Linked DNA regions of Rhinolophus ferrumequinum. The protein of the gene in region 1 interacts with the protein of each later gene in a pairwise test. Links are inferred from orthologs where the notes say so. Each region holds a gene or a part of one and is shown on either strand. Other genes may lie near its edges.

Evidence for each region.
Region 2: the proteins of SGTB (region 1) and RAI2 interact in binary tests that used the Homo sapiens proteins (3 or more experiments, as listed by UniProt). The link is inferred for Rhinolophus ferrumequinum from reciprocal best matches to the Homo sapiens genes SGTB and RAI2.
Region 3: the proteins of SGTB (region 1) and SERPINI2 interact in binary tests that used the Homo sapiens proteins (3 or more experiments, as listed by UniProt). The two-hybrid records come from large-scale screens. The link is inferred for Rhinolophus ferrumequinum from reciprocal best matches to the Homo sapiens genes SGTB and SERPINI2.
Region 4: the proteins of SGTB (region 1) and SERPINE1 interact in binary tests that used the Homo sapiens proteins (3 or more experiments, as listed by UniProt). The two-hybrid records come from large-scale screens. The link is inferred for Rhinolophus ferrumequinum from reciprocal best matches to the Homo sapiens genes SGTB and SERPINE1.

Annotation. Positions count from the first base shown.
Region 1 is NC_046290.1:42,025,214-42,033,148, reverse strand, and holds the start of SGTB (small glutamine-rich tetratricopeptide repeat-containing protein beta), read left to right. Parts: upstream 1-4,922; 5' UTR 4,923-5,166; intron 5,167-6,509; 5' UTR 6,510-6,531; coding exon 6,532-6,631; intron 6,632-7,935. Other genes in the region: NLN (neurolysin, mitochondrial), read right to left, coding at 4,467-4,507. UniProt on the Homo sapiens protein: Co-chaperone that binds directly to HSC70 and HSP70 and regulates their ATPase activity.
Region 2 is NC_046284.1:113,087,558-113,094,566, reverse strand, and holds the start of RAI2 (retinoic acid-induced protein 2), read right to left. Parts: upstream 3,006-7,009; 5' UTR 2,766-3,005; intron 2,495-2,765; exon of another isoform or gene 2,177-2,494; intron 1-2,176.
Region 3 is NC_046285.1:74,329,361-74,336,705, forward strand, and holds the start of SERPINI2 (serpin I2), read left to right. Parts: upstream 1-4,331; 5' UTR 4,332-4,382; coding exon 4,383-4,629; intron 4,630-7,345.
Region 4 is NC_046290.1:91,217,760-91,225,454, forward strand, and holds the start of SERPINE1 (plasminogen activator inhibitor 1), read left to right. Parts: upstream 1-4,684; 5' UTR 4,685-4,826; intron 4,827-5,151; 5' UTR 5,152-5,152; coding exon 5,153-5,423; intron 5,424-6,036; coding exon 6,037-6,270; intron 6,271-6,811; coding exon 6,812-7,006; intron 7,007-7,603; coding exon 7,604-7,695. UniProt on the Homo sapiens protein: Serine protease inhibitor. Inhibits TMPRSS7. Is a primary inhibitor of tissue-type plasminogen activator (PLAT) and urokinase-type plasminogen activator (PLAU).

The DNA.
Region 1 (7,935 bases):
TATGAATAAATTCTCACATTAGAAGATAAGCAAATTTTCTGGTTAGAGACTCAGATGACGAGTACTGAATATTTGTTTGAGAATTATACTCACCAAATAAACCCTCAAAAATTTAAGTAAATGCAAATTATAGTAAGAGAAATTTCCACTTATCAAATTGGTAAGGATTATAAATATTAAAATGCTCAGTGTTGGTAAAGGTATAGGAAACTAGCATTTACATACTCTGCTGGTGAGAGTATAATTTGGTAGAAACTTTTTGGAGAATATGATAGTAAGTACCAAAGGCCTAAAAGATATGCATGCCCTTTGATGTACAAATTCCATTGCTAATAATTTACACTAAGGAAATAATTAAAGATTTGGAAAGAGACTTAATAGCAAGAATATTTCCTTAAGCACTGTTTAACACATAGTATGAAGTTGGAAATAGTTGACATGTCCAAAAGTAGGGATTAAATTATCATACACCCCCAAATGGACTACGTTGTAGCTATTTGTATTATGGAAGGATGGTTACATTACATAAAAATTATAATAAACATGGTACAATCTCATATTTGTAAAAAATGGTTATGTAGAAAAGATTTTGGAAACTCTTAACAATTGGTTCTTCTAGATGGATATATTATATGTATTTTCATTTGCTTGTCAGTATTTTCTAAGTTTTCTATAATGAACATGCATTGCTGTCATAATTTTATAAACCAAAGCTTCTTTTTTTAATTAAAAGAGGAAACTAGGGTTATTATAGCTATAATCCGAACCAAATACTGCTGGATCATCTTTCTCAGTTGTTTTTTAACCATGCCATCCACCCCTCACTGTATAATATTTTTTAGATTTTGCTTGGCTCACATGCTGTGCATTTTGGCTGAGTAGCAGTTTAATTGCTATGGCAACAACAATTGAAAAAAATCTTAGATATAATTTAGTCTAGTCCTTTTCATTTTACAAAATAAGGAATTCAACAGAGATCTAAGAGACTGAGGGATTTATTTAAGGTTATAAGGTTTGCTGTACAGTAACCCCAGTCCTATCTCCAGATTCCCGGTCCACTTATTAACCCTCAGAAACTGGGTTAGTGCTTCCATCAATGATCCTGGATGCCAAGCTGTCTTTGGGAAGGGTTATAGCGACTCTGCCAATAGGATAACCCACGAGAAATCAAAGTCAGTTGACCAAAAACCTAATTAACACTTATGATACAAAAATGAGCTCCCAACTGTCAGAGGAAACAGGAAAAATATATCAAGAGAACATACAAGGCCTTCCATGTTGTCTAGTATTGATTCCTTTTGGAAGACACAGATTTGGAAACAAAGAGATTCTGTGATTCAGTCAGGTCTGCCATCCTTGGGAGTGAGGGTATGGGGAGGGGTCCTTGAGACCATTTCAAGGAGTTTCTGAGGTTAAAAATATTTCATAAGAATACTAAGATGATATTTACCTTTTTCACTTGGTTGACATTTGCACTGATGATGAAAAGCAATGCTTTGATAAAACTGGTGGCACCTTAGAACAAATCAAGGCAGTAGCACCAAACTGCTCTAACAGTCTTTATATTCTTTACTGACACTCCCTCATGCTAGAAATAATGTCGATTTCACTTTAGAATGTTCTTGATGAAACAGTAAAAATTATTTTTATTAAATCTTAATGATTGAATATATATGTGTAGCAAAGCATGCATAAAGCATTTCTGCTTTCTGAGTACAATGGTTTTCCAGAGGATTTGGCTGTCCAAATCAAAACCCCTTGTGTAACTGATTGAATTATGAGCCAAAATAGCTGTTTTTTTCATGGAACCCCATTTGTACTTTAAAAAAATGACTGACAGACAAACCGGTTATTCAAGCTTAAGTATTTGGCAAAAATTTTATCTGAAATGAAACAAAGTGAACCTGTCACTTCAAGGAAAACAGCTGATAGTATTTGTTACCAATGATAAAATTTCAGCTTTCTTTCAAATAAAAATTAGAATTTCGAAAAATTTTCTGCCACTTTTAACTTGCCAGCTTTCTAATACTTGAAGACATTTATGATGATGGATGATGACATTAAAGGAATACAATTATGTTTGATATTGTATAATGAAATGTGTCAAAATTAGGAAGAACTGTTTAACACAGTGAATCACTATTTTTCAAATAACAATGTTTGATGTTACAAAATCATGCATGAGTAAAAGATCCATTCACAGTGTAAGATAGACTCATGGATTTTAATGTAACAGAACAGAAAAGTACATATACAGTTTCGTATTCCACTTTGCAACTAACCTTTATAAATTACCACTTGTCAAACTCTGATGGGCTATCAAAGAACATCCATAATTGTCTAAGAAAAGCTCCTAAAATATTCCTCTTTTTCCAACTACATATGAATGAAAAGTGGGATTTTCTTAAGACAAAACAGTGCAATAAATATAGAAGCAGATGTAAAAATCCAGCTCTCTTCTATTAAGTCACACATTTGTTTTGACAAAGTGCAAAACAACGCCACTTCCAGGTTGGTTCTTATAAAAAACAAACAAACAAACCCCAGAAAACAAGTGTTGGTAAGGACTGGAATCCTTGTGCATTGTTGGTGGGAATGTAAAATGTTATAGCTGCTGTGGAAGAGTAATGTGGTTCCTCAAAAAATTAAACATATAATTATCACATGATCCATTAACTCCACTTCTATGTATATATCTCAAAGAATTAAAAACAGAGACTCAAACAGATATGCGCACACCAATGATCACAGCAGCATTGTTCAAAATAGTCAAAAGGTGGAAATAACCAAAATGTTCATGGACAGATAAACAAGATGTGGTATATTCATATAATAGAATATTATTCTGTGTTAAAAACATTATGCTAAGTGAAATAAGCCAGTCACAAAAGAGCAAATATTGTACAAGGTACCTAAAATATTCAAATTCATAGAGACAAGAAGAATAGTGGTTACCAGGGACTGCAAAGGGGATAAAAAGTTACTGTTTAATGGATATAAAGTTTACATATGGAATGATGAAAACTTCTGGAGATAGTGGTAATGGTTGCACAACAAGGTGAATGTACTTAATACCACTGAATTGTGCACTTAAAAATAATTGAAATGGTAAATTTTGTGTTATGTACGCTTAACCATAATTTTTAAAAAGCTGAAAAAAAAGCCAATGCCACTTTTCTCATTTTTTTGAATAATTTTGGAAAATGGTTATTTTTCATAAAAATGTTATTTATCCATGTAATGAGTTTATTACTGTTTTTAAATAAACAATACTTAAAAAATCTCCCAGTTGTCATTTCTAATAGAGTAAATATGGAAAGATATAAACAGAAGTTCTTGGTCCTGAGTAATTCCAAGAGGTAAAGGGGTCCTGAGACTAAAAAGTTTGAGAACCACTGTCTTATATGAAATGTATTCTCTCTTCGTTATGTGAAGACCTTCATTTGTTGGTATAGTTTCATTTGACAGCTATACCATTTGCAGCATGCAGACTAAAAGGAAACCCTGACATATGGTCAAAATCATACTATTGTCCCTTGGATGCACCTTAACTATAAAGGAGCAGCACAAAGCTCCACACCGATGAGTGGCAATGCACAATGGAAAACTGTTTAAAAGCTTTAAATCCCGATATGTTTCAACGTAGTTTTACAAGTATCGAGCAAGAAACACACATTTCCTTTTTTCTGTTGGATTTTCATTCAGACTTATAGTTCAAGGCTAGATGTGGGAAGGGAGATGGTAGCTGCATTGTTTCTGAAAAACCACTCTATTTAGCGCATCCATGCAAAGGATTCTCTCACCATTTTGCTACTGGTCTGTTGAGGAGGGTGGGGTTAGGGAGCTAGGAGGCAAACCAAAACAGCATCCGAGGCTGCCCCAAACCATGGCCAAGCAATAATTTCCTCCATTTTGGGCCAAGTCAATTTGCCCAGACAAAAGGTCGAGTATCTTCTGGGGAGGAGGTAAATAAAAAGGGTATTAGAAAGCCTGATTGGAAATCATCAAAGCACAGCGGTTTCATCTTGCGTGAATGCTAAACGATTTGTATGCTAAGTGTGTGAGGGGCAAACGAGAACCGTTATTCTTGAGTCTACAGCTGCGGCACTTTTAATGACGGATCTGCAGTTCTGGATAGGGAAGAAAGACAAATGATTTTCTTATCCGGACCATCTTTCTACAATCTTTTCGGGCCAGGCCTGTGACCAGTCTCTTTAACTGCAGCTGAGGCAGTTCCAAACAAAGGGGAATGGATACTCTCCCGAGGGAGAAGACAAGAGAAAGGTGGCCCTCCGGTTCTCGCGCTAGGTGGCCCTCAGGGTAGAGCGTGCGGGTCACGAGGAGGGAGGGTCCCAGGAGAGTCGTAGGGATGAGATTGGGAAACGCTGGGCCCGGGCGCAAGCCAGCACCGGGGCACAAAACCCCGCCCTGCCCACTGTCAAGGTTAACACGCGCACTGGAGGTACCTGTGGAGGTCTCGCACAGCCGAGAGGCACCGGGTGATCATGGGAGCGCCGAGAGGCGGCGACGGCGAGCGTGCTGTCCTCCGGTTTGGGGGAGAGGAAGGCGGGGCGCCAGTGAACCGAGAGGTGGTCTAGCCGAGAAGCCAACAGCGGCTGCGGCGGTAGCAGCGGAGGCAGCAGCTGTTCCTACGCGAGCCCTCCCACGTGCGGCAGCTCCACGCCGGCGCCCACGACAGCCACCGCCCCCCGCACCGCCCCCCGCACCGCCCCCCGCACCGCCCCCCGCACCGCCCCCCGCACCGCCCCCCGCACCGCCCCCGCACCGCCCCCCGCACCGCCCCCCGCACCGCCCCCGCACCGCCCCCCGCACCGCCCCCGCACCGCCCCCGCACCGCCCCCCGCACCGCCCCCGCACCGCCCCCCGCACCGCCCCCCGCACCGCCCCCCGCACCGCCCCCCGCACCGCCCCCCGTGCGTCCAGCACCGCCCCGGGGGCGGTTCTGATGAGACCTAGCCGCTGCAAGCGAATCGCACAGCCAGGTGGGCTGAGGGGCGGCGGTGGCCTGGGAGCCGGGGAAGTTTGGGCGACCCGTGCCAGTGCCGCGATCCGGGGCCAGGCTCCAGCCCTGAGGACCAGGGGGCGGGCGTACCCGCTGACGGACGCCCGCGGGCCCGCTGCCATCGTCTTGCGTCCTCCTGCCTGGTAAGGGGCTTCTGTCTGGGAAGGGTGCATCCCCTGACGCCCCAGATCGGGCCTGCACCGCGCACCCTCAGCAATACCCGTCAGGGCGGAGGCGAGGCCCGGGTACCGAAGGGAGGAAGGAGGAGGTCGATGTGATCTGGGGAGACTAAGGGAGAGAAGCCTGGAGGAGGCTGGACATCTCCATTTCCCTTCTGCACCCTCCCCTGTCCCCCCATTCTTTTTTTCACCTTCTGCCCTGGGGCCTTATTTAGTACTTGCGACCCCATGGCCTAGAAGCGGGGCTTGCCTTTAAAAATAAGCACACAAATAGTAAACATCCTAGCAGCGGGTACCACACCCAGGCTTAGAATTAGGGAACGGGGGAGCAGATGGATGATGCGATTTAGTGGAAATAAGCCATTAATGCCGGCTGGCCCTGCGCCACTATTTGGATGCGATAGTATTCGGAGTGAATGAACATGACCAGGAGCTTCCAGCTTGTCCACGAGAGCACAGCTACTGCAGAGAGCACTGGTCGGTTTATAGTATCCATCGACTTCGGCAATGATTTCCTGACATGTCTGGTGATTGAATAGAAATGCCATTTTTATTAAGAATGACACTCAGTCGAACAACCTTTCGTTAATATATTTCCTCATCAAATAACTGTCTCAGCCTACCAAAGTAGGTGGAGTGTAAATTAGGCATACATTTTTAAAAATCTCATGAAATAGAGGGACATGCTCAGCGTGGACCAGCTTCTGAGTCAGCAGTATGAATTCTCCCTCAGTTGAGCACTGAGGCCTTTTGGGGACTTCTTGTATCTTTATCTATACCCTTATCCTTGTCTCTATCTGTACCATGTATATATACTGTTAAGATATAGTGAGATATTCAGTTAGAGTCTAAGCTTATGTTGTACATGTTTTGAGAAAGATTTTACTTTTGCAAGTTTTAACATAATCTATTACTACCGGGTATAAATAAATATGTAATACATGACCATAACAACACTGTGCTCTCCTGACTCTTTAAAAATAGAAAGGAGTGAAGGTAATACAGATTTCAGCTTTTGCTTTATACTTAAAAAATTTTTTTTAATTAAATTTGTTGGGGTGACATTGGTTAATAAGATTATGTAAGTTTCAAGTGTACAATATTATAATACATCACATGTATATCGTATTGTGTGCTCCTCACCCAAAGCTTAGTCTCCTTTGGTCACCATATATTTGATCCTCTTTCCCCTCTACAACCTCCCCTCACCGTCACTTTTAATATAATTTATAACCCTTGTTATTTATAACCTTTCTGACCGATTCTGTAAAATAACTTAGTTCAGTGCTTTTCTTTTTCTTATCAAGGAAAAGTGGTTAAGCTTTTAAAATGTCATCTATCAAGCACCTAGTTTATGCAGTTATCCGTTTCTTACGGGAACAAAGTCAGGTGGACACTTATACTTCAGATGAACAAGAAAGTTTGGAAGGTAGGTACCTGTTCTTTATGTTCATTTGTGTTATAATTATAAAGACTTAAAATAGCTATAAGCCTGACTTTGATCTATTAAAATCAGAATATTTTGTTGATCTTTCAAGAGAGACCAAACCATAAGGTCATCATGTTTTCATTCTTTGAGGCTTGTTTTGTTTGTTTTAATTAACCTGAGAAGCGGACTACTGTTACATTTTTTGAACTGCTATCATGTGTCAGAACTATGCTATTCGTATTGTGGAGAATTTTTTCTTTACAGTGAATGTTAAGTTAGTATTATTCCCATGTAACAGATAAGTAAATGAAACCAGATTAAGTAACATAACACAGTTAATATGTGGCAGAGCTGAGATTTAAATCCTGATTTTTACTCTGAAGATCTTATTATCTCTTCTTCCTAACAGAAAAGCATCCATTGAGACTTGCTATATAAAAATACCTTAGTCATCATAAAAGCACTATGTGAAAGTCTAATAATTATGTCACTATTAAGCTTTGACAGCTCCCTACCTGGGGACTTGAAATGAAATGAGAGGATTGCACCCCCGTTTTATGTGGGCTTTAAATACTAGATTCGGTAATCTGTAAAATGCAGCAGGACTTGGATGACAGATACCATCACATGTTTCCTTGACGTGTTCCTTTTCATCACGTTTTCCTTTTCTGCTTCATGTTTATACATTATAAAATTTACATTCAGTATAACCATAACAAGATAGAATTCTGCAGGTGGGCTTCTGGAGGTTCAATGAGCCTAAAGACTTAATTATTGCAATGAGACAGTGCATTTGGGAAAACTTACTGACAGTACAATTTGAATTTCCCATCTTGAAGCTGTTTCTCCTGTAAAGGGGATACATCTATTAATTTCAATAAGCACTTCCCTTGTGAATATGCTTTTCGGAGGTAGGGATGAAAATTGGGTATTTGTTCTAAAACTGCTTGTAGTCTGGTGAGATGATGTCTTTCCAGGTGGCATTGAGAGAAGCAGGTGACATACAGTCGCACAACATGGCCATCAGTCCATTTAATATTAAGGTCTTTTGTTCTTGATGGTTAGACTATAACTGAAGGTAAAGGTGACTGGTTATCTAAGGAGGATGCTGGTTGTGGCTGCTCTGTAGCAAACTGATAAATGCAGTCATTTAAGAAAAGATGTTTCTTTTCTAATCAAAGGCACTATAACACTTTTAAGGGCCAGAAGGAAAATTCAGAATTTTTTAAAAACCAACATGTTATGTCCTATTTTTAGCATGGTAGTCAGCCAAAAATATGTGCCTTCAGCTGTTTGTTATATAT
Region 2 (7,009 bases), on another chromosome or scaffold:
TGCACTACCCTCCTTCCCCAAATCTAAGGTTAGAGAAGGAGCAAGAGAATAGACACTTGGTATTTCTGACTGGAGACTCAGAGCACACTGTATGTGACTATCTCCACATCCAGAATATCTCCATGCTGGGTCCAATGGATTGGGGGAGGCCAGTCTCATCCAGTTCTCTGGTCATTGGAACTAGTGCTGTAGCTCTCTCTCGGTGCTATGGCACTCCCAGCGACACCTCCTCAACGCCTCCCGTCCTTTTCTTTTTCTTTCCTGCCTTTCAGAGGCCTCATCTTGGAGGCTGGTTTTTGGGCTACCAGACGTTTTATTTATTTTGCAGTGCTTACCCAACTGCCCACCAACCAAGTTCTCACACTGGCAACTGGCATCACGGGGAAAGCTGTTTTCGCTTTTAATCCCGAGATGGGCAGGTTTTCCTGGGCGGAACTTCACTGCTGGAGGTCGGGGGCTTCTTTACGTTATAAAGGCTCCCCAGCCAGGGCTGAGCGGTGCTGGTGCCAAAGCAGCCAGTATCCCAAGTTCCAGTCTCATTTGGTTCACTGTGCCCTGGCCGCCTTGCTGACGCCTCTAGTGGGTATCTTATAGGATGAAACGAAAGTGCCCATTTGGAAGATATTGTGTATGTGTGTGTGGGGGAGGGGGGTGCGGCAGTAGACGGCCTCTCTGGGCTTCTCAGAGGCAGAGAAACTGGGATGCCACCGGGCTTATGAATGTGCACCTTGCAGCCCATCCCCAGCTTCTGAAAGTGGCACAGCTCCCCATGTTCCCTTTTGAGAAGAAAACAAGTGGGTGGGGGCATAATGCTGCTCCCGCGCAAGCAGTTCCCACCCACTGGCCTCCCCACTGTCCTCTACCCACACTGGAACCCGTCTACTGTAACAAAGGCACATCACCACACATTTTCAAAGTTATCAGAAGTCTCTTGGTCAAGCAACAACCAATTCTGATTACTCCAAAGGAAGAAGAGGGACATTTAGAAAACGGTGGGAAAGATCCCCTGGGAAAAGCCCAGCAAACCTTGCCCTATGCACGCAAGGCTAAGAATTGCTTTCTCCCTGCTGGCTGCTTTTCTCTCTGTTCTAAAGAGAAGCTTCCAAGACTCAGCTAAATAAAGGGATCACACCAGAGGAGGAGAGAGAATGCTAAACCAACAAAAACAAAGACTCAAATGAAACAGAGCGAGCCATGAGAATTCGCGGTTATCAAAACTTTGTTTGGCCGTATCTATTTATCATCGCTGCACACCCGGGCTCTGCGGAATATCATTCTGTTGATGTCACTTATCCTCAGCAAAATATTTACACATCCTTAAAAACGCCAGATGAGGGGGGCCAGCCCGCGCACTGCCGCAAGCTGCCCCTCAAGCACCGTCGCCGAGTTCGGGGCGGACGGTGAGGTGGTGGGGCAAGACTAAGGGTGGCTCCGCCAGCACAGGTAAGAGCTATGGATAGTTCCCGGAACGCGGCCACCCCGGCGCTGCGCCCTGCCCTGCCCACCTCTCCCCCACCTGACTCTGCTAGAAGCAGCCACATCCCCGATATGGTGTCTGCGCCTCCTCCGTCTCCCCCTGCCTTTCTCATTGATTAAGTTCTCAAACCATTGTTAAAGCCGGGTTGCTTTTCCCTGGAAAACTGGGCTGAATTCATTAAGCTTCACCGTGCCACAAAAGGAATATTCATAAAAGTTTGGCAGGCAGAAAAGGAGGTTGACTGCGTGCCACGGGGTGGGTGACAATTCGCTTCTCCAAAGCCACCTTCTTCTTCCGTGCCCCATCCCTCTCTCCATCCATCCGTCGTGCCCCAAACCTACTCCAGGGACTTCTGATAGGGAAACACAAAGCAGCAGCTGTTTGGCAACATTTCTACCCCTCGCCGGCAACTGTGGTGGGATGCCATTTCCCCACCCAGGCGGAGCATATCCGGAACAATAGTCGGGCTTTAAACGGCAAACAAGCAAACACACAGAGCACAACCCCAACCCCGAAAAAGCCAACGCGGCGACAAGCAATAACTCCCTCCGCAGCAAAAGACATCGCGGAAACGCACGCAAAAATGCAGCGAGAACGCTGCTCGGTGCCTAACATGGCAGAAAGCCTGAGCCGCTGCGGCCACCCTGGGTCTGAACATTGGGGGGCACGAGGGCGTTCGGGGCGCCGACGCACACTCACCCGGCTCCAGGAGGTTGCGGGGCTGGCCGAGCGTCACAAAGGCGAGCCCAACGCGATCTGGCAAAACCCAACTTTCCACCCGGCTCTCCAGGGCCGCCAGATACGTCAACAGAATCCATCTTTCGAAGGGCCTGGAAGGCGCCGGGTTTTCCGGGCCGGGGCAGAGCGGCAGAGCCAGAGGCGGCCCCGTGCGGTGCCCAGGCGCGGAGTCTGCCGCGCGCCGCCCTCTGCGCCGGGTGCCAGCGCTGGTGGCGGCCCGAAACCCACTTCGGGGCCCCCGCCCCGCCGGCCGGCGCCGCCTCCCCGGCCGTCCCCGGCCCCGCCGGCCAGTGCGCGGCGCCGGGAGCGGGAGCGGGACCCGGGGACGCCGCACGGGTGGCGGCCTCAGCCTGTGCGTCCCCGCCCCCGCCCGGCCCTCCCCGCTGGCCCCGGCCTCCGGGCGCCGTCCTGCCCCCAGGAGCAGGCCCCTCCCCGGGCGCCGGGCCCTGCCAGGCGCGCCCAGCGCGGCGCGCCCCCTGCGTCCAGTGGCAGGTCCGCCCGGGGAGGGCGGGGGGGACCCCGACCCGTAGTGGGGCTCCGCGGCCGGTACCTCGCAGTCGCAGCCGCCGCCTCCAGGAAGCCGCAGGGTGGTCGCGGGTGCGGGAACTCTCGGGTCCGGCCTCGCCGCCGGCCGCCTGAAGAGGATGCGCAGCGGTGGGAGCCGCCGTCGCCGCTGTCACGGAGCTGCTGTCGCCGCCGCCGCTGCCGGTTGTGCGTGAGCGTGTGTGCGCCTGTGTCCGGGCGAGTGTGTGTCTGCGTGCGGAGCCCAGCCTTTACTATATACACCAAGGGGTGGGAGGAGGCGGGGCAGGGGAGGGCTTGGGGGAGGTGGCGGAGGAGGGGGAGTAGAAGGGGGGCGAAAGGGTACCCGAGGAGGCGGTGGCGGAGGAGGGACAGGTGATCTCGCCCACGGGGAGGGCGTGGTTGTAGGAGGCGAGGGGTGGCTGGTGGAAGGGGCACCCGGGGCGCGGGGTGCCGGGTGGGGGTGGTGAGACGCCTGGGAGGGCCGGCGGGCTAGGACCATTCCAGATCCCAGGATGGAGAGGAGTGAGAACAGAGCCCAGGAGGGAGAAAGTGGCTGGCTGATGGAGGCCGGAGAGGTGGGAAGGGCCCAGGGATCACCTCCTAAAATGTCAATTGTCATACATGTCCAAGATCCTTCTCACGAAGTGTGAGATTATTAGAGACAAAATTAGTCCACGGACAATAATCTCATTTCCACGTAATTGTTTGAGAGGTGATTCATTTATGAATCTAACATTTATTAAGCCCCTACTGTTTCCCAGACACAGGGCTAAGAACTGGAGTTACAGACAGAGATGATGAATATATGGTTTACTAACCAGTAAATAAATCATAGGTATCAGCAGTACTATTGATCATTTTAAAACAAAATAAAAAACCTAAATCCTATAAATGTTTTAAGACAGCAAAGGAAGCAACTACATTGGTTTAATTGATCCCCAAAGATGTAGATTTGTTTCCTGCTAATCAAAACAGGATGAAGATATTTGAGAGAACAGCAGAGCAGACATGACTTTAATCGGAGCAGAAAGCAGTCTGAATCTACCTGTCCTTTGCATGTTCATATGTCCTTTAATCCCAACACTGAGTGGTAACCATGATATCCCTCTTGTATTATAGAATTTGGGGTGGCCGACCAGAGTGTGAAATACATAGAGAGAAGCCTGGTTAAGTTTATAATTTGTATGGGAAGCTGAACTTGTGTTTGAAAGGTTCTGTTTGAACCTTGCTGTTTTATAAGCATAATATGGTAGAAAGCAGGGCCACATTATGATTTTCGTGGGCACGTTGCCTTTGTGGATGCGTTCCTCCATTAAAAAAATAGTAAAGATTACATTTTTCAATTGCATTAGTGTAAAGACGAATATATTAACATGATATACTAAAACATTTTCTTCTACTTAAAAGATCACTTTTTCTTCTGATTTTAAAAGAAATTAAAACATGTCCGTGGGCCCCTAAAAGGACTGTGGGCCCCAGGCACTGTGCCTACTGCCGCTAACAGAGAAGTCAGCCCTGGTGGTACTATTCCTTGATACAGAATTTCCTCTTGAAAAAAAGAGTTAATTTAAGAAGTGCCCAATCAACATAAGGGCAGAAAGACACACAGTTCAAGTTTAAGAATTGATAATAATGAACATCAACAGAAGGTACCACATCCTACTTGTTTCAATCAGGCTCTTGGGGTTTTAAATCAGCTCTGAGTAACTAATGATACCAATGGAAATATTTGTCTGTTATATGTCTTCAACCACTTCGGTAACCAAAGACTTCCTCTATGGCTCTCATAACTGTTCTGAGCCCTTGGATCAGGTATGTGAGGGCTCCGTCGCCAGGACCTAGCCTGAATACAACTAAAGACACAGCTGGGTAATTATAATGGGACAAGTTCATGGATGAAAGATTCATAAAGGTTTTGTGTGTGTTGAGGGGGTATGTGTGTATACGGTAGGGACTGATATCCTGGAAGGCAATTACTAGCCTATTTCTTTTGTTGGCCTCATCACAACCCTGGGTTAATGTTTGATCCTCGCTGGCAGTTGTGATTCATATTTGCTGCCCTTTGAGGTGCTTATGTTTTGAGGAAAGACTATATTGATTCAGATTAATGCATAATAAACAGGCATCATGGCCCCTATTCCCAAAGAAATGTACAGTGGCACCCCTCTGTATTTTCATCGTGACAACCCTTGCAGAGGGAAGGGGAAAAGAGGAGTCCATAAAGAAAGGGTCTGGATTGGGAGGGAGATGTTTTCAGACAGAAATAGGACATGGAAAAATTGTATTTACACAGTTTTAAGGGATGCCTAAGAAAATGGAGGGAAGAAAGGACATCCCAAACAGCAGGAAAGAACCACAGACAAACAAATAAACAAACAAAAACTTCATTGCTCAGGTTGATTTTTGAGATTTTTAATTCTAATATTTGGACTCAAGAAATTTCCTATCTCAGATCTGATTCTTTTGTCTCTGTCCTATTTCTCTAATACAGCATCGCCTCCTAATCTAGTTTTTGCATACTTGCCAGATGTGTGATTCATTCATTTATCCAATGAACATCTATTAAGCACCTGATGTATGCCAGTCACTGAGCTAAGGACTATGGTTAGGGAGATGTTTAACATAGGGTTGCTGACCCCAAGGAGCTCACAGTCCAGTAAATAAAGTGTTAATAATACTATGGAGACTGTGTGGTACATGAAGAGTTATAAAATCAGCCAGGTGAACACCGAAGAAGTGGGCCTACCCTTGTACTGAGAAGGCATAGGGAATGGCATGGGGCAGGGCAGTCAGAAAAGATTGCACAGAGATGGTGACAAGAGCTGAGCATTGAGAGATGAACAGGAGTTTTTCAAAGTTAAGGGAAAGGCATTACAAGTGACGGGAACAGCAGGCACCAATGCTTGGATGCAAAGCACTTTCTGGAGGCTGCAAATATTTTGTGAAGGTAGAGTAGAGGCTGTGAAGAATAGTAGTAGGGGGTGCAGAGGTAGGTAGGAGTCAGTTGAGGTCCCTGGTCTGTCCTGTAAAGGAGTTTTTTCTTAAAGTCAATGGGGAGCCATTGACAGAGTTGAAGCAAGGGAGTGAGTGACCAGGAAAGATTCGGGTTGAGGAATGATCGCTCCCCTGGGGGGTGTGAAGGGCTGATTGGAGAGGGTAAGCTTGGAAGCAGGGAGACCAGGTGAGAGAGATTTTGTCAATGATCAGAGTTGGAGTGAAGGTAGTGACAGCAGAGATGAAGGGTCAGAACTTAAGTGGTACTCAGGAAATAAAATCAACAGGACTTAATGATGGAGGAAACAGGAAGGATTAGAATGACTGACGCCTGGCTTTCTGAATTGGGTAACAGGGGGGTGGGGTGTGGCCACTGAGATAGGGGTCCCTAGGAAGAGAAGCAGATTTGGGACTGGAAATGATGAATGCCATAGATTCCCCCAGAAGCAGATCCTGAGATAAGGATTTGAGTGCAGAAAGTTGATTTGGAAGGTGAAGGAAACACTGGTAGGGTAATGGGGAAGGGAGACAGGGGGGCAGCAGACAATAGGGGGAATGTTTTCACGGCCCATTACTACCATGAGCAAGTGGAGCTTAATCTCGCAAGCAAACTCTTGGACACGATGCAAAACATGCACTCCAGAATTGTCCCACTCAAGAAGTGAGGAAGCTGGTTGAGGGCTGCCCAGAGGATGCTAATTTTCTGGGAATTTCAACTTGCCACCTGGCATAGGCAGAGAGTCCTTCTCAGATATCGGGAGAGGATCCTGGCTGGCAGCTTGGAGGTCTGTGGAACACACTGAAATGGTAGCATCCGAGGGATGTGGGTAGAGCACTGTCAGTGTTTGCTCCAGGGAATTCTGATTAGGACATTTTGAGTTGGAAGTGCCTGTTGGGTAGCCACAGAGAGAAGTCCAGTAGGCATTTGCAAGAGCAGATGTGGAGGTCAAAATCTAAGCTGGAGACCTAGATTTGGGAGTTGTTGGGCCATGGGTGTTTGTTGAACCAGTCAGTGGGTGTGGATGAGCTCTGCAGAAGACATATGTGACTTAAGTTGATGGCTGAGCCCGTCACCCTGGGCCATGACAACATGATTTGATCTTATCTGCACGAACATCATTGCCAATTTCTCTAGGAGTTCCTGGAAGCCCTGAAGTTGTAATGCCAATTTAGGGCTCATGGGTATGAATGTGTCTGGGGAAAAGCGTCTGTTGCTTTCAGGAAATTCTTAAAGGGTCTGTATTTCACTAAAGTTGAAAAAATTTGGTGGCCACT
Region 3 (7,345 bases), on another chromosome or scaffold:
TGTTTTTCCTGATGTGTTAGGGGCGACATAAGAGTTGTAGAAGAAACAGATTTTTGAAAATATTTAAAAGGTTTGCAGTAACATTTTATGGACACTTAGGTTATCTTTATTAAAAAGGTATTAAAGTAGCTTAAATCAGGGAGGAGAAATTCATGGCCATTGCTTTTTACTTCCCAAGAGACAGGAAAATGTATTCTTCATGAACTGCTCTACCATAAGGTCCTTACAGAACAACTTCATTAAATGATCTTACTAAGACAGAGTGTCTGTCTCTGTCACTGGGAGGAAAAGTAATGGCCTATTCCTGGGGAAATCGCATTATGATCCAAGTAATGTACAGACATAATAATTTGGTAGCCAAGTGTACTTGTGATGGATGTTTGCTGGTGTCACTACGTGGGTAAGAGAGCATTGATTGAACGACAGTCTTGGACATTCAGACTTATTATTTGTAATTGCAGAGTAGAACAAAAAGAATGATAGGGTTCTTGCGTTGCATAACTGTGTTCCGGAAAATTATCTCTAACACTGTTAAGTGGAAAGCTGGCAATGAGATTGTTTATGTTAGATTAAGTAGTGGTAGGATATAACCCAGAATTTAGAAAAATAAAAGAGAGATACCTAGATGGTTAATTAAAAATGTTCGTCTACGAGTTTTGGTTTCTTTATTTGTTTGTGGTTTTCCTTTGTTGTTTTCAGTTTTCCATCCCACATATCAGTGAAATCATATCGTTCTCAACTTTTTCTGTCTGATTTATTCTGGATGGTGAATGTGATATATATCCCACAATGTGATATATAGATGATGTATTACAGAATTGTACACCTGAAACCAATGTAACTTTACTAACCATTGTCACACCAATAAACTTTAACTAAAAAAAAAAGAATCGTGGTAAATTAGGAGATTATGGCCAATAACAGTCATCAGGCTACTCAGGCCTCTTATAAAGCTATAGCCCTATTAGGACTGAAAATTGTTAACAGAGTCCTTGAAAAAGTATTTCAAAAATAATTCCTTTTAAAGGTATCTATATTCATTTTATTTATTTTTAATGAATTTATCAGAAACAATATTACATTTAGTAATCAATAGTGAATACTTGCTTAATTGTAATTGGAACATGTTTTTTAAAGCTTAAATTATTATTTTGTTTTTTCAGTTACAGTTGACTTTCAATATCACGTTATATTAGTTTCAGGTGTACAGCATAATGGTTAGACATTTATGTAATTTGTGCAGTGATTCCCCCCGATTAGTCTAGTACCTCTTGGCACTATACATAGTTGTTGCAATATTATTGACGATATTCTCTATGCTGTATTTTACATCCCTGTGACTATTTTGTAACTACAAATTTGTATTTCTTAATTCCTTCCCTTTTTTCACCCAGTTCTCCAATGTTCCTTTGCTCTGGAAACCATCAGTTTATTTCTGTATCTCTGAGTCTGGAACTAAATTTTCATTTCTCTTATCAGAGGCCACTAACAAATAATCCAATGTGTTTAATAGCTGATTGCCACTGACGTGATTGATTTGAACTAGAACAATAACATCAAAACCCATTCAATGATGCAATGATGTATTTTTTATTAATGAACTGTCTGTAGACGAAATCATGTAAAATTTAAAAATCATGTAAAAGTAAAACCTATGTTTATTATCAAATTCCTTATGTTGAATAGTATTATCTTGGTATAATTTGGTAAATCAATAATTTTAATCTGGTCTTTTTATTCAACAACATAAGTATTATATTTCTTCAATATCCAGTTTTTTCCCAAAGGATTCAAATGGACCTTATATCCACAGGAAATTCCTTTGACTATTGTGTAATTTGATGAATTGTTGAGAATTCTGCAGCAGTAATTTGTCTCTGCATTCTGGACTTGATTTAGCTTTATTCTTTTTCTCATAGGCATTCTGAAATATTATGATGGAATATATTGGTAATCTGATATGGGAGTCCTGTGAGAAACAAAAAGAACTAATTACTAGCAAATTTAGAAGCACAGGCATATTCTTTCAAATTCAGTTTCTACTAATAAAAGAAGTGAAATAATGGATGAGATAATAATACAAACCTAATGATCTTTTAAAATTCTATTATTGTTTTCTCTCTCGATTCTTCGATATTTCATCACTGGTAATTAACCTGATCATGTGAGTCCTCTTATACAAATGTGGTGAACACCTGCTTTGGTTTTAGAGGAATTAATCAAGCAGTGTTCAAGATAAACAGAGTTGGCCTTGACCGATCAGGTATTCCATGTTCTAGTGTTTCCCAGAAGGGATATTTTAGTTATAACATTACCGTGAATACCCAGAAGCAAATTTGGGGTAAGTACCTTAAAATTAAATAGATTATGAATATAGTATATATGCTATAATATTGACTCTGAGTATTTAATAGAATAGGAATACATTCCAATAAACTTTGGTAGATAGTGTTTAAATTTATCAGATTAGCATATTCCTCTTTATTCTCCTTAAAAGATGTCACACATTTAAATATCAAATTCTTATAGAACTATTCGTCAGGTTGTTTAGTTCATCAGTACTTTGTGATTTCTGATGAGATACAATCCAAAGCCAATGAGGTAAGTGAATTTTTAAAACCAATTTTTGTATGCACTTGTAATTTATTAAGTGTCTAGAAATGTTCTAGAATAAACGGATGCTCAAATAATGTACTTTTTAAGTGTTAATGTTGTTAATAATAATGAGAGGAAAACTTCCAGGTTTTACTATAAGTAAAAATTATGTATTTTATGTAATATTATTATGTAATATTATTTTTCTAATACAGACTAAATACATAAAGATGTACATAATGGAATGCCACTTGATGACTTAAAAGTACTGATAACATTTTGACTATATATCTACAAACCAACATTTGGGCAGAAATTTTCTGAGATATATAATATATTAGAAAATGATACACAGAAATTTATTTTGCATGTATAACTTCTCTTATTCATTAGCTTTTACTATTGTTGTGCTGCTATTTACAATCTTATATTCTAATTTAATCCTCGGTAAAGCATTTGCTTGATAGCATATATATATATATTTATATTTGTAGTTTATCAAAACACTATTTTCTAACAATTGCCTTGGATTAAATTTGGATTACATTTTCCTTTGCAACTTGTATATCTAGACAAATAGATTTAACTACATATATTAGAAAACAATTTGAAATATCTAGATAATGACTCCACAGCTTAGTTTTGGAGAATGTTTGACTATTAGTAATCTTTATATGTAAGAGTGATTTTAGTGACTCATAACCCATTCATGGGTCATGGTGACCTTCCTAATGGTGTGCAAAACACTCTAGAAAGATAGTTCTTCATTTCTTTAAGGCTCACAATACATTATTTTGAAGGCTTTCATCTTTACCTCCAATGAAAGTTTACTTCCTAGTAACTTACTAAACTATGGGTTGTTAAGGGTTACTAAAGTGTATTATCTATAAGGTAAAATTAGTGTTGCTAAAACGTATGAGTCCTTCAGAGTGTACTATTCCAAAAGTCTTTGGTAAAATTGCAAAATTCATTCTGTTCAAGATGTAATTTGGGTTGAATTTCCTGCAGTTTTAGTGGAGAGTATTTTAATAGGGTCTCATTACTGTTGTTGTGAATCGGTTATAGTTTTCAATTGAAGTTTTCTTATATTTGTTGTTTGTCAAATTATTCTTTGATTTTTTTTAATGCTCCCTTCTTTTGTTATAGCTGTACCATTTATATTTAGTTGTAATTTTGTTTCTTTTCTCTCTTTGGAAAGGTACATGTGGGTTTTGGGGTATTTTGCCCTACACATTTCATAAAGTGTGAGAATTCCTATTGTAAAAAGCCAGATTACTTAATCAATTTAGAATACATTAACTCCGTAACATTATAGGTCCCAAATCACAAAGGAGTGTGTTCATTTTTTATTCCATTTCTCTTTTTTGATTTATTAACCATTCTGGAGTAGTCTGGACAGAGGGTTCTCTTGATATCAAAGTTACAGTTATCCCATTTAAAACCACAGGAAAAGATAAGAAAAAGATCATATAGCTATTTAGGTATATTATTACTAATTATTATGCTCCAGAATTATAATTTATCCTTTGATTTTAAAAAATCGCTATATATTTTGGACTGGTTCTTGAAGGAATATAAAAAAAGACCATTAGCCTATAGCCTATTTCTCTAATAGATGATGCTTAGTCTGAAAACTGGCATTAGAATCTTCTTGTGGTAATTTGTCCTAACAAGACAGAAAATTCTAATAAGTAGAAAGTTTTCTGTTTAGTTTTTTATATGGTAAAACTAATATATTTATTAGTTTTGAAAACTAATGTATTTTGAATTGATGCACAGAGGTCAAAATGGATAAGATCTTGTTGTGGAGTCTCCTATTGACTTTTTCTGGAAGTCAAGCCTCAAGATCCTTGGCTCAAAGACATACTGAATTTGCAGTGGATCTTTATCAAGCTATTTGTTCATCTCATAAGAACAACATTATATTTTCCCCCCTTGGAACAACTTTGGTTCTTGGAATGGTACAACTGGGAGCAAAAGGAAAAGCACAACAGCAGATAAGACAAACTTTAAAATTTCAGGACACCTCAACTGGTGAGATTTTAACATATGATTATTTATATTGGATAAGATCTAGTCAAATTTATTTTTTAAATATTAGAGAGAAGTTCAGGGTCATAGAACTTTAATAAATTAAAAATATTATAGAAAGATTAAAATTATAATAAAATGAGGAATTGTAAATGTAAATGATATTTATTCATTTATAATCATTTCATAATGAAAATGTTGCCAAAATAGTTTAAGAAATTAATTCTATACAGATGTAAAATTGTGTATATCTGTATATTTTCTTCTACTCTAATTTAGCCCGTTGTAATTAATTGAGGTTATGTTGTACGTGTGTTTTTATACGTATACCAGGGGTGCCAAAAAATGTGTATACAAGTGGACACTTTGGTCAACGTTGCTCAAGCAGTAGTTTGCTGTAATCAGAAGTGTCTGGACGCTGATGGTAACCACTTTGAGCATCTCTTGTAATTGCAGAAGTCAAACGTGACTTGTATTCATCTTTTGTTATGCATTGGTATTGTATTCATCTTTTGGTATACATTGAGTATTATAGTTGCAATACAGTTTTCCTTTCTTAAAATATGTATACATTTTTTTTTGGCACCCTCTGTATGTACCTACATATGTATATACACAGATATTCTTCCACTATCACTTACTATGTTGTGATTATTTTCTCATATCATGCAACTACTTCAGAATATAATTTTTAATTGTTGTATTTTACTATCTCTTATGGAAATACCATCACTTACTTAATCCTTCTTTATTAGTTTGCTTCCAATACTTTTTTTATTAAAATGTTTTGGTGAGTACCCTCACCCAGAAATCTTAGTGTGCATCTCTGTTTTGTTAGCTTTTTAAAATTAATTTTCTAAGTAAAATTTAACTTTTTCACTTAAATCAGATCAAGAAAAAGCATTGATGTATATATTTTAAAAGCTTATTTGGTTAATAGTTTTTAAAGAAAATTTTTGGAGATAAAAAGCATTTATACAGCCCTTCAGAGGCCTTTTTGAGTGTGAGTGGTTGTTGTTTTGGAGTATCCCAAAGGTTCATCTGAAATACTGTATAGAAGCTTTAGTGCTGGCATTCCATTTGAAGGGGTGGTTGCCTATTTTCCTGACTCTTCTGTGTTCTCAATTTCCATAATAATTTTAATTTCTAACTTTTACATCTCTGTTAGATAATCCATCCTGAACATCAGAGGAAACATCCAGGTTTTTGATTTGGGAATTTATTCACTATGACTAATTTCAATATGTTTGCCTTAGTACAGATTAGTTATATGTAGGAATTTGTTTTTCTTCTTTACAAGGTTTTACTTGTGTTACTTTAAATAAAGTCAATTTTATAGAGAAAAAAAGTTGGTGATAATGAAATTCATTGCAAGGGTTTCCCTATGTGAATAATGGAAAATGAAGCTACTGTGTTCCAGATTTAGTCTTCACTGTCTATAATAATTTCAACAAATCCCACTATACAGTCCCAGAAACATTTCAGTCCCATGATACTGCTTTGGAAAGTAATAGAACATTTATGAAGATATGTAAAGTTGAATCCATGATAAATTAGTAAAATTAGAGCCTCTGAAATCTAAATTACTTTAAATGGATTTCATCTTATATAGAAACACGTGTCTTAATAACTCTAGGTTGTGAATGAAATAATAATCATAATGATAATGATGTCACTTTCAAGTATATATAGTGTCACAGTCACTGTTTTATGTGCTTTATGTACATGATTTCATTTAATATTCATAATTACTCTGTAAAGTAGACATAAGCCTGCTGTACAGATGCGGACACTGAGGCAAAGAAAGATTAAGTAACTTGCCCAGAACTATTCCAAAAATAATTCACTGAGGGTTATAGATCACATGAGCAATAAAGAAAATTTCTATATTTTCCTTAGAAGAGTACATATGGATAATTTCACATTAACATTTTGGCACATATAACAAAATTTACCAAACTTGCTTTCTATTATGCTCCCTTAAGGGAGATACAGATAAAAGATAACTGCAAAAAGAAAAGAAAGACTAGCCAACAATGGAGAAGATATGAAAAAGAAACTCTGGAAAAAAAAAGAGGGGGACACTAAGGAATAAAGAAAAAGGAAACACAGAGTTAAGGGAGGGAACAGAGTGAATGTGCAACAGGATGGAGGGGGGAGGTCTGCAGAAAGAAGAGCAAACTAGCACTAAGGGTAGAATGAAGGGTGTGACAGATCAGAAGAAGGTAGTGTCTGGCAGAGCCATATTGGAACCCAAGAAAAAAAGAATAATCAGTAATAATGATCTTGCCTTTATTTAAAGTTTTCGTATTTTGTTCATCATGGATTTACGTTAATACTGATTTTTAAAGTGCAGAAGGTGCCAAAACAATATATACACATTTTAAGAAAGGAAAACTGTATTAAAATTGTAATACTCAACATATACCAATAACAAAAGATGAATACAGGTCATGTTTGACTTCTGCAATTACAAGAGGTGCTCAAAGTGGTTACCATCAGCGTCCAGACACTTTTGATTACCGTGAACTACTGCTTGAAGCAACGTTGACCAAAATGTACACTTGTATACATATTTTTGGCACCCCCGGTATATATGTTGCAATAAAATATTATTTATCTTGATTACTGAGTTTGATAGCATCTTTTTAAATTTTATGCGCAAGGTGTCTCTGACTTATGTTAGTCCTAGCTCTGCCTTCAATACCCACTGATTGTC
Region 4 (7,695 bases), about 49 Mb from region 1:
AAGTGGAATGAGAGAGAGAGTCCAAGCAGGGTGTCCCCGGGGTGCCCTGAGGCCTGCATTGCTTCATTCGGCTGACACCATGGGGCTCTGTGGTCATATTGACCCCAGAAATCGCACACTCCACCCTTTCCTGCCCCAAACTTCCCCTCGTGGCAATCCTGGGCCCCATTCGCCCCCTCTGCCTCTTTCCCCGAGAGAGGAGGCTCATTCTTGCCCGGGGGGAGAGGGAGCTGTGTGAGTCTCTGTGCTCATCGAACGCTGACATCATGAGTGGTATCCCCCAAAGGATACTGCCCCCCTCAGCTCCCCCTTTGAAATGAGGATAAATAAGACATGGCAATGGCCACAGTAAGTTCAAGGACACGTACAGAAATGACTGTAAGTCAAGGAGATATACATAAAAGTGGTTGAAGGGTTATGGGGGTTATAGGGGAATCAACAAGAGATAGGGGACACAGGTGGCAGAGAACGGGTCAAGGGGGCCAAGCTCAGCTCTGTTTTTACCTGTTGGTAGAACAAGCCCCACTCCCCCAACTTCCGTATGCTGAAGGGATCAGGGCATGTGTCAAATGTCAGTGGGGGTCCCCCTGTGACCCGGCAGCCATAGAGGAAAATCTTACTGGGATCTAAAACCTGCGAAGTTGGCCAATGGGAGCACGTCAGGACCGGGGTGGAAGCAGGAAGATCTGGCCTGAAATGGACCGGAGGGGCTGGTAGCCATTCTTTCTGATAACCAGCCAATCCATTTCCCACGCATTTCATCTATTCCACTAGCTGCCAAGGGAAGTAAAAAAAGATTGCCTAAAACAAGGAGCTTGTGTTGTACCAAAATTGACATCTCAAGCCGCCCAGGTTCCTGGCCTGGCTCTGCCCCAACCAAGGTTGGCCGCCCCTTAGCGAGAGCCTAGAATATGCTAGACATCGACAGGCAATATTTCATTTATCCCTCACAGCAACCTGAAGGATGGAAATCATTATCTGCCTATCTGTCCGTTCCTATCGACATACCTATCTACAAATAAAAAAACTGAGGCTCACAAAAGTTTTGCCTGCGGACACATAACCAGCTAAGTGTCAGACCCCTGACCAGGCCGGTCTGGCTGCTCCAATGAGCACTGTTCTGCCATTTGCTGTATGTCACTGTGTGACCTCAAACACGTGACTCAGCCTCTCTGGACCTCAGGGCTCTCACCTGCAAATTCAAAGCTGGATTAAGTGGTTCTTGGAGCCTCCCCCCTCCTCCGACCCTGAAATTCTAGATATAAATGGAGAAAAAAAGCAACTGTGGAAAACAAGGGCTACCGTGGGGAGATGCAGATTTTAGTGTTACGGGGAGTTTCAGGAACGGTGGCTGGTGGGGGCTGGAGAAGACAGAAAGGAGAGGGGCTGTGGAGGCCCAGGAGAGGGAAGTCGGGCCGGGCAGCAGTGTGAGGAAGGCTCCCGGCAGGCCCAGGCAGCCACACCGCTGTCAGGCTGTCCCAGGGACGTGAGCTGGAGGCTGAGGCACACAGCCTTCGCCCTAGCTCACTCCTCCGAGAAGGACAGAGTGAGCCTAGCCCAAACACGGACTATTTTTGGCAGTTATGTTGTTTGGAGAGCAACCAGGTCAGAAATAGTGCTGTGAGTTAGTGGGACCTGCTCCTTTTCCCACCCCCGGCTCTCCCAGTGAAATCACCAGGAATCCAGAAGCCTGCTCCAGCATTCCCGGAGCCTGTGCAACTGACAGGGGCAGCACTCTCCTTCCCACAGGAAGGCGGGGAGCAGAATATTTGACTGTAAAAGGGATTCTGGAAGAGGAGAGGAGAAGGAAAGAGGGACTGAGTCACAGAGAACAGAAAAGAGAGAGTGGGAAAATGGGGAGAGCGCTCACGTGGCCAAGACTTGGAGACCTGGGGAAGGAATGGGAAAGAATCCAGTAGAGGGAGGGTTGAACAAAGGAGATCAACAAAGGGAAAGTGCAAAAGAGGGTGAATGGCTGGTGTTGGGAGAGCAAAGAGGAAGGGCCAAGGGCGCAAGAGGGCAGCTGGAGGGCAGGAGGTGAAGGGCTGGAGGTTGAGACCAGCGGCCCCAAACTGAACCAGAGCTCATGGGGTGTGGGGGCGCTGAGGGAGACAGTCACGGGAAGTGTGATTCTGGTCTGGTCACGAACCACCTGCCGAGAGCCAGATGAAACATCTTTCCCCGTTGGCTGGAAGTGGAACTTCCCCCAGAAATCCACAGCCTTGTAACTCACCCTCTTATCTCTGACTGTACGGGAATCAGGGATCCAACTATTACAACACAGGGACTTTTCTCATTCTGTCCGTTTGACCCCTGACAAAAGAGCCTAGGCTTCAAAGAGGTGATTGGGTCAAGGCTGTTACTTTGGGGTTCAGTGAAAAGAGAGAAAGTGACAGTCCCTTGAGTCAGGCTAGATTCTGAGAAAGGCATTGTGGGGAGGTCTTATGGGGAACAGCAGGTGGTCGGGCTGTACCTGACATGTGGGAAGTCTCCGGAGGGCAGATAGGGGATGGCAAGGCCATTTTACAGAGACGAAAGAGCGGCAGGGACCAAGGTCAAGTCTTGGTTTCGAACAGGTAGTGGCCCCAGCCAACTCATCAGAAACTCTGGGACCCAGTTCCACTAGGCTTTGCCTCAGTTCTAATACACACCCACCAGATGTCTACAAGTCCCTTCCAGTTTGGAGACAAACCCCTTAGTAAGTCAGCCCTTTCTGTTTCCAGCGCCCCTTCTCTCCCCCCACAGGACACAGAGCTGCTCCCGGGCTCCTGTGCCTGAGGATGGACAGTCTTTTCTGGAACGGCATCAGGAGCATCTTTCAGGTCCAGGAGCGGGGACAGAATTGGTCACTCTCCTGGCAGGGCCCAGGCCATCCACAGAAAACGGCAGGAGCTTTTACGGCTGAGGCCGGGCAAGGCAAGGGCGAAGGGCCCCTGGAATAAGAGATGGAGCAAGAGAAGGAGGCTCAGCGAAGGTGGCTGAAGAGGCCGGGCAGTGAGGTGATTCAAAGGAGCTGCTTCAGGACGCTGCTCTTCTAACTTGGGACTTGGCACTCCCAACCCAGACTCCCAGGTTCCTGTCTCCCTCTGATCCCCAAAGGCAAGCCTTTGGGGGCATTTCTGGGGGTAGGACATGGGTGGGGGGGCTGGACTTCTGTCCTCTCCACCCAAGAGAAGTAAGGGATAACCACTTCCTCCTCAGAGCTAACTACTCTCTCAGGGACTCCAAACCACAACCAAGAAAAGGAAAAGGAATAAACAAGAAGCAACTAAATGGGAACAGTCCTGTAATGGGTTGGTGATCTTAACTTTCCAACCGAGGTTGCTCTTTGTTCCCTGCCACCCTGCATGCCCACCTGACTCCCAGGGGCAACAGAGAAAACAAAGGCGGAGGAAGAATAAACTTAGGAAAGCCATCCAGCTGTGGTTGCCCTTGGTGTCTGTTTACTGAAAAATCCAAAACAAATATCCCGACACTTCCACCCACTTAAACTTCCTGTGAATCTTCTATCGGCTGTCTCCATGGATACTCCCAGTTGAACCACATGACCTACACAAAGTATGATCGTGTGTGTACCCCCAGGTCAAGTGCAGGACCCCATGGCACCCAGCCCCTCTGTCCAAAACATCCAGGTCACATAGCCAAGGGTGCCTGACCCCACCGCCGCCAGGCCCCCAGATGCACATGTATGATCCCACACACTTGCCTCCAGCCAATTTCCACTCTCTGTAGAATTCTTGGGTCACTCTTCTACTTCTAACCCAATGCCCTAGGAACTGACACCCTCACTTCTATCCCTACTTCCGCTGCTCCAGCCCCGCAAGTGTCTGCATCTGGAGGAAAAGGATAAGGTTTAATTTTCCCCAGTCACAGCAGGCAGCTCAGAGAAACAAAACTTACATGTTGGACTCCTAATTCCTTGGCAAGAATTTACTCCAGTAACCCCTGGTCCTTTTCAACCTCCACCACCCCACCCAGCACACCTCAAACCCCTGCCAAACAGGGCTGTTGACACAAAAGAGAGCCCTCAGGGGCACCTCAAGAGTCTGGACACATGCGGGAGTCAGCCATGCATCATCCGACACTCGGAAGGAAAGAGGGAAAGACAGAAGGAGTCCTTTGCCAGGCTCACGTCCTAGACAGTCAAAACCCAGACAATCACATGGCACGCTCTGTGCCCTGTGGCCGCTGGGACATGGCCAAGAGGGGGGAGGGGCATTCTCCTCAGGTTGGCCAGCACATGGGCTGGACAGCGCTGGCAGACAAAAGTCCACAGGACCATGAGCTTCTTTGATAACTTGTGATGATCCATTTCTCCAAAGGAAAAGGAGAAAATACGAACTGTTCTCCCCCAAGCTGAGCACAGGGGAAGGTAATCCCAAACACTGGACATTTGGGGCCATCTGGCACTGCTGGGGATCAGGCTGGCATAACATCCAAAGAGAGAGGGACACAGGCGGAGGGCAGCCACATCAGGGAAGGTCCTTGTACCTAGGCAACTGAGTTTTGCTCAGTTCTTCCTGAACCGTCTCTCACACGTACACACACACACACACACACACACACAGCAGCACGCACACACATGCCTCAGCAAGCCAGACTTCCAGAGCCAGAAAGTGGGTGGGGCTGAGCCATGAGTTAATCTATTTCCTGCCCACTTCTGGTATAAAGGGAGGCAGCAGGCTCCTTAACAGCACAGCTGCGTCTGGCTGCAGGGCTCAGGGCACTGTCAAGAGAGACACACCCCCTCTCCAGCAGCAGAATCGCCACAATCAACAGCAGCAGCAGGACGAACTTCCAGTCACAAGGCACTTTGAGAACTTCAGGTAAGAGAAAAACAAACTCTTCATCTCTTATCTCGGGTGAAGGTGGAGAACGCCCTTCCGCAGAATTTCCTCTGTCCCAGAGCCCCACTTTCCTTCTGTCTATAGCCAGCCCCCAGACCTGCAGCCCGAAGTTGACCCTGCCGGAGCAGTGACTGCAGAGTCTGAAGCCATTGTGGTTTCTTAATGAGCTTTGACCTCGTGTTCATTTATCACCTGCCAGTGGCAAACACAGGAAGCCTGGCCCCTGGCTGGGGTATGGTCTCCCCACCCCATTCGCCATCCTTCTAGAACCATCCCTCATCAGCTCTTTCCCCCCTTGCTCTAGGATGCAGATGTCACCAGTCTTTGCCTGCCTAGCCCTGGGCCTGGCTCTCTTCTTTGGTGAAGGGTCCGCATCGTACCAACGCAGGTCTCAGGCGGCCCTACTGGCAACAGACTTTGGAGTGAAGGTGTTTCAGCAGGTGGCACAGGTCTCCAAGGATCGCAATGTGGTTTTCTCACCCTATGGGGTGGCCTCAGTCCTGGCCATGCTGCAGCTGACAACAAGAGGAGAAACCAGGCAGCAGATCCAAGAGGCAATGCAATTCAAGATTGAAGGTAAGAGATGCGGCAGAGTAGGAGGCAGGCACTCGTGCTGCCTTCACAGAACTGGGGTCTAACCAGCCAGAAGCAGAGGAAAGGCCTGACTCCAGCTTGGCTGAGCCAACGCCAGCGCTGCCATGCGACAGGGACCAACACATTTTTAGTCACAAGGTGCACAGGCCAGTGTATTTGGTGTAAAATAACCTTGCTCACCACTTAGTACCTGTATAACCTTAATCCCTCTGAAGCTCAGTTTCTCATGTACAGAATGGGGATGGAAAAAGGACCCATCACAGAGGGCTGCTGTAAGGAGTAAATAGAATTGCACATAGGCAATGTTTAGCATAGCTATTACTATTAATATGAGAAGAAATGTAGGGTTCATAGCTTAAAAACAGAGAAAAATATTCTAACACAAAGAAAGGGTTAAGACTTGAGATTTTTGAGGAAAAGAGGGAGATGCAGAAGAGATTAAGGTTTGGAACAAAATCTCCCTCCAGAGACCCCTGGGGGAGGAGAAGTGCTCCGTTCATGAGGGCAGGGTAAGGCGTCTCATGGGGAAAGATGGCCCGACTGGGAATCCTTGGCTGAACATGAACCTGATGTATCCTTTCCTCCCTCGGCACAGAGAAGGGCATGGCCCCTGCCCTCCGTCAACTGTACAAGGAGCTCGTGGGACCATGGAACAAGGATGAGATCAGCATCGCCGATGCCATCTTTGTCCAGCGGGATATGAAGCTGGTTCAAGGCTTCATGCCTCACTTCTTCAGGCTGTTCCGGACCACAGTCAAGCAAGTGGACTTTTTAGACATAGAGAGAGCCAGGTTCATCATTAATGACTGGGTGAAGAGACACACGAAAGGTGAGCAACAGGCAGAGAAAGGAGGCCCATCCCAAGGCCTGCCAAAAAGGGTGGCTTGGAAACAAATCCCAAATATCCTAACCTCTCCCTTTCAGCACTCTCTTCTCTGTAGACAGAAGGTCAAGTGCTTGAAGAATCAGTGTCATGTTTTTCAGAATTAGGCCTTCTTGTGAACCAGCTCTAACGGCATCCCCCAAAAGTGCTGTGAGATTTCTTTAGAACAGTTATAACCATGACGAGGAGCACACACAACCCTTCAAGACTGCAGCTTAGGGAGCAAAGTAAAGGAAGACTAAAGTTTCCAGGTCGGATCCTGGGCAGGATCTCAGGCCCAGGAAGTGTGGTCAGCTGAGAGGTTTTCTGAGACCCTTAGGAAGATGGAACGAGTTGAAAATAGCTAGATTGGTTCACCTAAACCCCCAGGCTATTTTCTGCCTGGATGGCTTCAACAGAAACACACCCATTAGAGGCCTGGGAGCTGAAGGAACTATGGAAGAGGACTGAAAAATACCTAGCTCCTGATCACCTGGTTTTCCTGTAGGCATGATCAGTGACATACTTGGCAAAGGGGCTGTGGACCAGCTGACGCGCCTGGTGCTGGTGAATGCCCTCTACTTCAACGGCCACTGGAAGACTCCCTTCCCAGAGTCGGGCACCCACCAGCGCCTCTTCCACAAGTCCGATGGCAGCACAGTCTCCGTGCCCATGATGGCTCAGACCAACAAGTTCAACTACAGTAAGTGCAAGACTCCCTTCCCCAAGTCCCACACCTACTGGATCTCACCCCGGGTGTTCCCATCGAAGGGAGGAGAAATCCTAGAATACAGCCCAGCTTTAACAAAGACTCCCCGAGAAGGAGACACCAGGATAACTGGAGCAGCAGAAAGTAGCTTTATCTCATGCAAGACAAAAATGAAATCCAGCAATTCCCTCAGGCCCACATTTGACCCCTTGACCCCTCGCTCTCATCCTCATATGTTTCTAGTGCGGTTACCTGGGGCCTACAAATCCTGCTGGGGGAAGGAAGGGCAATGTCAAAGTTGAGATTAAGGAGATGAAGACTGGAATAGTGACCGGGTATTAGGGAGAGGGCAGTGAAGGTAAAGAAGGCCAGAAAGAGACGAGAAACCAGAAGACACTGAATTGGCAGATGAGAAGGAAAATGGGAATGAAAACATTGAATAGGACAGCAGTGGGTGTGGGAGCCTCAAAAGCCAGAATGGAGAGCTGGCTTCCAGAGTGGAGGAGACAGGAGAATTAGTTGAAAACCCAGTGCCGGGTTGGAATCAAGAACTGGAGCCATTTTCAATGTGCCATCTTGGTGTCTTCACAGCTGAGTTTTCTACCCCTGGTGGCCATTACTACGACATCCTGGAATTGCCCTACCATGGGGACACACTCAGCATGTTCATTGCTGCTCCCTAT